Linked DNA regions of Arabidopsis thaliana. The protein of the gene in region 1 purifies or fractionates together with the protein of each later gene. This does not show direct contact. Each region holds a gene or a part of one and is shown on either strand. Other genes may lie near its edges.

Evidence for each region. Proteins that work in one complex are often made in the same cells at the same time.
Region 2: the proteins of sks18 (region 1) and HB33 fractionate together in Arabidopsis thaliana (co-fractionation; one large-scale study listed by BioGRID). This does not show direct contact.

The regions. Positions count from the first base shown.
Region 1 is NC_003070.9:28,454,239-28,459,179, reverse strand, and holds sks18 (SKU5 similar 18), read left to right. Parts: upstream 1-1,651; 5' UTR 1,652-1,791; coding exon 1,792-1,929; intron 1,930-2,054; coding exon 2,055-2,164; intron 2,165-2,237; coding exon 2,238-2,508; intron 2,509-2,720; coding exon 2,721-2,823; intron 2,824-2,920; coding exon 2,921-3,281; intron 3,282-3,384; coding exon 3,385-3,750; intron 3,751-3,832; coding exon 3,833-3,911; intron 3,912-3,990; coding exon 3,991-4,200; 3' UTR 4,201-4,399; downstream 4,400-4,941. Other genes in the region: AT1G75800 (Pathogenesis-related thaumatin superfamily protein), read right to left, coding at 1-155, 237-291.
Region 2 is NC_003070.9:28,239,072-28,243,352, forward strand, and holds HB33 (homeobox protein 33), read left to right. Parts: upstream 1-1,939; 5' UTR 1,940-2,330; intron 2,331-2,407; 5' UTR 2,408-2,504; coding exon 2,505-3,434; 3' UTR 3,435-3,724; downstream 3,725-4,281. UniProt on the Arabidopsis thaliana protein: Putative transcription factor. Binds DNA at 5'-ATTA-3' consensus promoter regions. Regulates floral architecture and leaf development. Regulators in the abscisic acid (ABA) signal pathway that confers sensitivity to ABA in an ARF2-dependent manner.

The DNA.
Region 1 (4,941 bases):
TCCCCATGAAGTTGGAGCGCTGATTGTTCGTTCTTCGCCTTTTTGGAGAACGAATCCGGTCGTCGGAAGTGGTGGAACTCCGGCGTTTGATAAAAGTCCAGGCCAGACTGTGTATTCGCATTTGTTCACCATAATGAAGCTCGTTGATCTAACTCCTGTTTATAAAACCATAAAATCATCAGAATCACAGTATTATTAATCATAACTAAAGTTGATCTATAGGAGAAGATTCGTACCAGAAACGAACAAATGAGAGAAGATAAGGAAGATCAATGGCAACGGAAGAGCCATTGAATTGGAGAAGAAGAAGATTTAAGGACTTTAATTGCTCTGTTTTCTTCTTCTTCTTTATTAGTTTTATTTATGAAACAGAGACTTAAAAGAGGATTCTGAGAGCGAAAGAGAGATGAAGAAGAAGATGTGTGCTTTATAGTAGAAGCTTTTTTCCTCTGTTGGTGAGAATCTGGTGTATGTGTTGGTTGGTAGCTTATGGTACGCCTGCTTACGTGGACACATCTAATTGGTTATTTTTTTTAACCGTTGAGATTAAGAAAAGCACCTGATGATTTTATATAGTAAATTTTGTTGTTTAATCGGTTCATAGTTCATAATTAGCACTATACGATAATGGGTTAGTCTGGTTTTTAAATAGTTAAATTACCACTAATTGTTGTCCGAGTTTGATTGATAACATTTTAACGAAAATATCCAATTACCTTTTGACGTTCACTTTTAATTAAAAATATCTACAAAACGTAAAGTAGATCTTTATTTTTCAAGATTCTTTAACTTTACTGTTTAGTTACGTGATTAGGATTTGTAACCACGTAGACGTGTAAAACAAAATTACTTTTTTATCTGTGATTTATAGGAATTTGAGATTTGAATGCAACGTTGTTGTTTCATCTAACAATAAGTGATGAAGAACTTCAAAAGTCTAAAACCATATCATTTATAAAATCATCATTTCATTTTCAGAACAACTAGGTACGATTAGTGGACGTTTCAACGTCTTTCATGATAATCGCGGGCCATGTAAATTATTATATTTGAGGAATGAGGATCCATATAATATCTTGGCTATATAAAAATTATTTATTTGTTCAATATAATATCTTTGCGTTTTATTGATCAATTGCAAGTTTGCAACGATATACACCAGGAAAAAAAAGGAGAAACAAAATTCATTTTGCTTATACGTATGTACTATGTACATTTCTGTATACTCAAAGTTGTTAGATATTTTGTTGTGGAAAGTGATAATGTTGTTACTTTTTACTGTTTTTTAGGTGGTGTGAACTGTGAAAGTTTGAAAGATACAAAAGTGATGAATAATTTTTCAATAATTGTTTTGCGTTGTATTATTTTTTGTAGGAGTAATAGCGACCATCTTTGTAATATTGTGTAGACAGACAGGTCACATCCACTTTACAATATATCGTAAGCAATTGCCATCGTCCTCCCTCACGTTTTTTTTTTCGTCCGTCACATTACAATAAGATATTTAATGGGCCTTTATGCATGGTTTAGTATAATGAATAAGCCCAGCAAATTTTAACAAAAGCACAAATGTGCTGCCCATAAATTAGGTTGGAAATGCAGATTGCATGAACTTTTCGATCATATTCAAAAAACATAGCACAAAACAAACGTTAACTCCAAACAGAGTAACAATAGTTGTCGTCTAATTAATATATTGTTCCAAAGAAAAATATGTAGCTACGTCTTGCCTCTAACACCTCTTTTTCACATCACAAGCATCTTAAAATTTCTTAAATCACTCTTTTCGCGATGAGACATGTCTTTGTCGAGGTGTTGGTTCTGATCTCTTTGGTCATCTTGGAGTTGAGCTATGCGTTTGCACCAATCTCATCGTATCAATGGGTCGTCTCGTATTCTCAACGTTTCATTCTTGGAGGCAACAAGCAGGTAACCATTTTCATTTGAATATGTTTTTATTTGTTACAATAATATGGTTTTAGCTATCTTATATGAAATTTCAGATGCATGATCAATCTATAGGTTATAGTATTCACCAAAAAAAAAATCTATAGGTTATAGTGATCAACGACATGTTCCCTGGACCGATCCTTAATGCAACAGCAAACGATATCATTGTCGTTAACATTTTCAACAATTTGCCCGAACCCTTCCTCATGACTTGGTATATATTTTCAACTTTTTGTTTTGGGTTAATTTTAGGAATAATTGTTATTAAACCTCTATGTAAATTAAAGGAATGGATTGCAATTGCGGAAGAACTCGTGGCAAGATGGAGTTCGAGGGACAAACTGTCCCATACTACCGGGGACAAATTGGACGTACCGTTTTCAGGTGAAGGATCAAATTGGAAGTTACTTTTATTTTCCGACCCTTCTACTTCAGAAAGCTGCCGGAGGATACGGTGCTATTAGAATCTATCCCCCAGAACTTGTCCCAGTCCCATTCCCTAAGCCCGACGAAGAATACGACATCTTGATTGGAGATTGGTTTTATCTCGACCATACAGTATGTTTCTTTGATAAATTACCGTATTATCATCAAACCTACATTCCAATACTATCCTTTTTATATATAAAAAAACTAATTTTGTAGATCATAATCATTTTGGTTATTGAGTTTTATCTTGCCCATTTATTGAATGTGTTATTAGTTTCATTGTAAAAGATGTTTTGCTTGATTTGCATAATTAACACTTGGTTTCCAAATTTTGGTGTAAGGTTATGAGAGCTTCACTTGACGCTGGTCACAGTTTGCCAAATCCTGATGGTATTCTTTTTAACGGGCGTGGCCCTGAAGAGACCTTCTTTGCATTTGAACCAGGTGAGTTTTTTTCTTCTTTTAAAAATATTACATTATATCTTTAATAATGTAGTTTACACACAAATGTTCTTTTTATGTTGTCTATATATAATCACAGGCAAAACATATAGGCTAAGAATATCAAACGTGGGTCTCAAAACATGCTTAAACTTCAGAATCCAAGACCACGATATGCTTCTAGTTGAGACAGAGGGTACGTATGTTCAAAAACGTGTTTACTCGAGCCTGGACATCCACGTAGGCCAATCATACTCTATTCTTGTCACTGCCAAAACCGACCCGGTTGGAATTTACCGGTCTTACTACATATTCGCCACAGCTCGGTTCACTGATTCCTACCTTGGCGGTATAGCTTTAATTCGATATCCCGGTTCCCCACTTGACCCAGTCGGACAAGGTCCACTCGCACCTGCTTTGCAAGATTTTGGTTCCTCAGTTGAACAAGCCCTTTCCATTAGGTAAAGAAATACTCTTTTTTTATACCAAAGAATAAAAACTTTTATATGAAATATTTCGTTTAGTATTTGTTCTTGACTAATAAACGTTAAGTGTACGACACAGAATGGACCTGAACGTTGGAGCAGCAAGATCGAACCCTCAAGGTTCGTACCACTATGGACGAATAAACGTAACCAGAACGATAATATTACATAACGACGTTATGTTATCGTCGGGCAAACTACGGTATACGATTAACGGCGTTTCGTTTGTCTACCCCGAGACTCCGTTAAAGCTCGTTGATCATTTTCAGCTAAATGACACGATAATCCCTGGCATGTTCCCGGTTTATCCATCCAACAAAACACCGACTCTTGGAACTTCAGTGGTCGATATTCATTACAAAGATTTCATCCACATCGTGTTCCAGAACCCTCTATTTGGATTGGAGAGTTATCACATCGATGGTTACAATTTCTTCGTTGTCGGGTAAAAATTACAATATTTAAATCATAATTATGTGTATGATGATTAAATTAGGTGTACTAATTTTATTTGAGTTTAATGTTAGATATGGATTTGGAGCTTGGTCTGAAAGCAAAAAAGCTGGATATAACTTAGTAGATGCTGTTTCACGGTCAACAGTTCAGGTTAAGCCATATCTAATCTCGTAATTTAAAGTATTAAACCAGTGATTAGTTTTGGTTAATTGATTCTGTGTGTGTTTAGGTTTATCCATATTCGTGGACAGCAATATTGATAGCTATGGATAATCAAGGAATGTGGAACGTGAGATCACAGAAAGCAGAGCAATGGTATCTTGGTCAAGAGCTTTATATGAGAGTTAAAGGTGAAGGAGAAGAAGATCCTTCGACTATTCCGGTTAGAGATGAAAATCCGATACCGGGAAATGTCATCCGTTGTGGCAAAGTTCGATAATAATTAATTGTCTGAAATAATAAAACCTAGAAAAGTCTATTTTAATTAGCAAAACTAAAGAACGGTTTAAAGGAATGATCAGAGAGTATTAGGATCTGTGTTGATCTTAGGGTTTGTGGTTTGATTGCGATTCGAATCACTTGTGTAATTGCAGAAGACGGATGGTAATTTAAAGAGATGATCTTAGGGTTTGTGGTTTGATTGCGACTAAAGACTACTAGACGATGCCGTTTTAGATTTTAATGGGCTCACACAGTTGTTATCTGCAAACCGGCCCAGGTCTGTTTTGACTTGGTGAGTGCTAACGTGCTCTATAAGAAGATATTGTAGCCACATACGAACAGCTAACGTGCTCCCATTTCCTCTATGTTCCCTTGAGTGACATACGTTTTCACAATAAGTTGGGAGCAAGTAATTTACCAAGAACAAATATATATTTTAAAAAATATAGGATCCTTTTACAAGTTCAATTATTGATTTTGACGTTACGTATAAACAGTAGATCGACCATGACATAAATAAAAATGAAAAAATAATTGGATCAAATCTCAGATCTTACTACAGTCTACATCTACCTAGCTACATGTGCTATGGCATTATTTGTTTTTCATGTTATCATCAATATTGTATAAAAGATCCAAACACAATCAGTGTGATGATATTTTTCTATACTTTTGATCATTCAACCGATTTCAATTATTGTGTTTGATCGTTTACATAGAAATAGGTACATATGCATTC
Region 2 (4,281 bases), 220 kb from region 1:
CTATGACGATTACTTTTTTTGTTGTTCTTATCAAAACTAAAATTAATCTGAAGATTGTTTTGTTTTGCGACCATCTTTAACATTTATTCAAACGCATGGATTATTGCATTTGACGTTGTGATATATATTCTTGTATTTTCCATCTTCTCAAAGTAACTAATATGAATGTAGAGCCAATTAGAACAAGCATTAATTAATGAAATGAACTAATCTGCATGTCTAATTATTCACACGTACGTACGCATAGATAATTTGTGAAACTAATTAGACTATTAGTCGTATATTGATGAACGTACTGATGAGATATCATTACAGTAGAGCCTGTGATTAAGCTTTCAATAGGAAAACATCTCCATGCTAGGACGACATGGTCCACAAAATATGGCTTTCTTGAGTATTATTAATCTTGATGAAGACTATACAAGTTGTATTATACTTGTAAAAACATTTTAATAATAACAAGTAATTTTATATAGTATATTAAAAGGAAAAGTAAAAAGGGGTAGAGTGAAATAGGAAAGAAGAAAAGACATGAGTAAGAAGAAATGGTGTTTGGACAAATTAGGGTTTGAAAAAAAAAGATTAAGGAGCGAGAGAGAGGGATGTAATAATGAAGAAGGAGGGAAGAGAGAGAGAGAAGGGGGCCCATAATGTGGCAGGGCATGTGGCTGGGCTTCCAACTTGACCTTGTCGGTTGTTCTCTGCACTGCCCTTCTCTGCAACCCACACACCTCTCTCTCTCTTTTTTCTTTCATTTTAAAATGAATATATCTCATTATTTCATCTTAATTAAGGAAATTTAGCTAATTCAAATCATGTAGTTACTTTGTTTGTGCTAAATTATGTCTACAGATAAGAGTATTATCCAACAGTTTCAAGGTATATAGTGACAAAAACACAATCTATATAGAAAAATAGTAAAATACAGAAACAAAGATTACGTAATAAGATTATCCGATACCATCAAGTTACTACATATGATCCATTTGGCACAAATTACAATGTTTTAGTTAAATTAATATTAGGTTGACTATTAAAATTGTTTAATATAGTATGCTTACAAGAGATTAACTATTTGAACATACAAGCAACAGTCTAAGCCCATTTCGGTGCATTATCCAGCTTTTTTGTTGTATAATTTTTCTCCAATTTTCAAGTAGTACTATATTTTTGCAAATTTATTTATAGTAAACGCGTTAATGACGTACTGTACACAGTAAAAATGAGCTCATAAAAACCCGAGATAGAATGTCAATTATTGCATCAGTTTCATGCGAGTTACACATATTACGAAATTTTGTGCTTCAAGTTACTATTCAACCACTATGTGTTTAGAGTAGTACTAGACCAATCAATTCATACAAAAATAAATCATTTGATTCAACGAATATTAATTATGCAATGTTAAGAACTACTAAAACTTTTTGGATACTCTCATATAGAAAAAAAAGACATATATAATCAGGAGGACACTCTATCGGACTCGCATTAACTTGAAGATTGAACTCAATATAGCCAGAAGTACATCTGTTTCCAAAAAACTGTGACAAATTTCCACATATCTTAAAAAAATTACAATTATTCCTGTTAACTATAGAGTAAAAATAATAATTAATTAGCCAAAAACCACAAAATAATAGTTTCCCATATTATTATTTTTCTGTATATTTTCTTTTTCATTTTAATCTGTCTTTATGATTAAGTTTGATAGTAAAAGGGTCAGTAAATAAACTACAAATCACATTCTGCTCTAAAGTACTATAAAGTAACAATATTATAGGATAAATCTCTTGTAAACACACACAAATAATCGAAATAGTAATTCAGAAATTCTCTTCTCATTAAAAATATAGAAGCCCTCATAAATATATATAAAAAGGTTATAAAAGCGCATTTAAAAATATAATACTAAAATGATAAATACAGATTAATGGAAGAAGTATAATAAAGAAGTACTTAATAAGTATAAGTATATAGTAGTAGGGTATGACATTAGTGTCATCTCTCACAAAGGGCTCAGCTCTTATCTCTTTCTCTCATGGCCTCACCACAAGCAACCAAATTGTCTCTTATAATCCGATCTCAAAGGTTGGCTTGTTGGGAGCACTGAGACATCAAACATGGTTTCTTCTTTCTTTCACTCTTAAAAAAACCAATTTAGCCCTAAAAACCTCCTTTTAGTTTAATCCCAAAAGTTCCTCAAATCTCTTCTATTCTCTCTCTCTCTCCATTAAAACCCTTCACAAGCAAAAAGCTTTGAGCTTTAAATGAGTTTAAGGTCCTGCAAAAACTGGGTTTTTCCTCGTGTACTTGTTCATCTTATCTCCTCTGTAAGTCTCTGATTCTCACTGCCATTTAGTTTTCTTTTTTGCCTTATTAGTAATCTCATTATCATGTTCTTTTTCAGGCATAAACTTCATTGAAGAAAAAGTCTTTTTTATTTTGTTGATCTCTTTTAATTAAGATCCTTTTGGGTTTTAATTTATTAATCTCCAAGAAAAAAAATGGATATGAGAAGCCATGAAATGATAGAGAGAAGAAGAGAAGACAATGGCAACAACAATGGTGGTGTTGTTATTAGTAACATCATTAGTACTAATATTGATGATAATTGCAATGGTAATAACAACAACACTCGTGTCTCTTGCAACTCTCAAACCCTAGATCACCACCAATCCAAGTCTCCCTCTTCGTTTTCCATCTCCGCCGCAGCTAAACCCACCGTAAGATACCGTGAGTGTCTAAAGAATCATGCGGCGAGCGTCGGCGGAAGTGTTCACGACGGATGCGGCGAGTTTATGCCGAGTGGTGAAGAAGGAACAATCGAAGCTCTCAGATGCGCTGCTTGTGATTGTCACCGTAATTTCCACCGGAAAGAAATGGACGGCGTTGGAAGCTCGGATTTGATCTCTCACCACCGTCATCACCACTACCACCATAACCAATACGGTGGAGGAGGAGGGAGAAGACCTCCGCCGCCGAATATGATGCTTAACCCACTCATGCTTCCTCCGCCACCGAATTATCAGCCGATTCACCACCACAAGTATGGAATGAGTCCTCCCGGAGGAGGAGGAATGGTGACGCCGATGAGCGTTGCTTACGGCGGTGGAGGAGGAGGAGCTGAGTCGTCTAGTGAAGATCTGAATCTGTACGGACAATCAAGCGGAGAAGGAGCTGGTGCGGCGGCGGGACAAATGGCGTTTTCGATGTCGTCGTCTAAGAAAAGATTCAGGACAAAGTTCACGACGGATCAGAAGGAGAGGATGATGGACTTTGCGGAGAAGCTAGGGTGGAGGATGAACAAGCAAGACGAAGAAGAGCTTAAGAGATTCTGCGGCGAGATCGGAGTGAAGAGACAAGTCTTCAAAGTTTGGATGCATAACAACAAGAACAATGCTAAGAAACCACCAACACCAACAACTACTCTCTAATCAGTGATCATATGATTAATTGAGAGATTATGTAAGAGATTTTCTTTTAATCTACTTTTGTTGTTGTTGTTTATTTAATGTTTTCCTTCTTCTAGGTTTTTGTAGTTTGTACGATCTTTGGATCAATCAATGGATCTTTTGTTTGCTTAGTTAATGTTTTTAATTTTGGTTTGCCTTTTTTTTTTAGTCTTTTTATTTTATTTTGTTTGTCTTTTACCCGGATCGTACTTGTAATCAGCTTCTGTTGCTTCTAGTTTATGCTTCTGTCTTTTTTACATTTAAGCTTAACACAAACAATTCTGCTGTACTAACTTAGATAGCCAAATACAAAACACTATAATTAACATTTTAATACAAGAAAACAAAATAATAATAATGCAAACATTGTAAACGTATAATGCAGCCATTATAGTACCTTTTTATATAATCATGAATAAAATGTTAATTAACAGAATTATTTTTGGCAGATTAACTTATCCGTATCAATATTTTAATTTTTTGATATATTGTAACGGTAGATATAACAATGATTTTAGAATTTTTTTATAGATATATATGACAAATTATATGAATACGCAAGCGTTATGATCAAAGTTGAACTTTTTAAAATGTTTGATGTGAAATATGTCCAAAATTGTAACCATATGATTTGAGTCTACTGTAGATCTGTCACCTTCCAACTTCTGTACCAAAAAGAAAAACATGTGAAAAGAAAATTTCTAAAAAACAGAAAAAGAGAAGATTCTCATTGTTATAAAATTCATAGATGAGGCCAAAATTATAGAACTCACGACCTATGTATCTTCTTCTTTTCTTCTGTGTCGTCACGACCTATGTATCTAAGCTA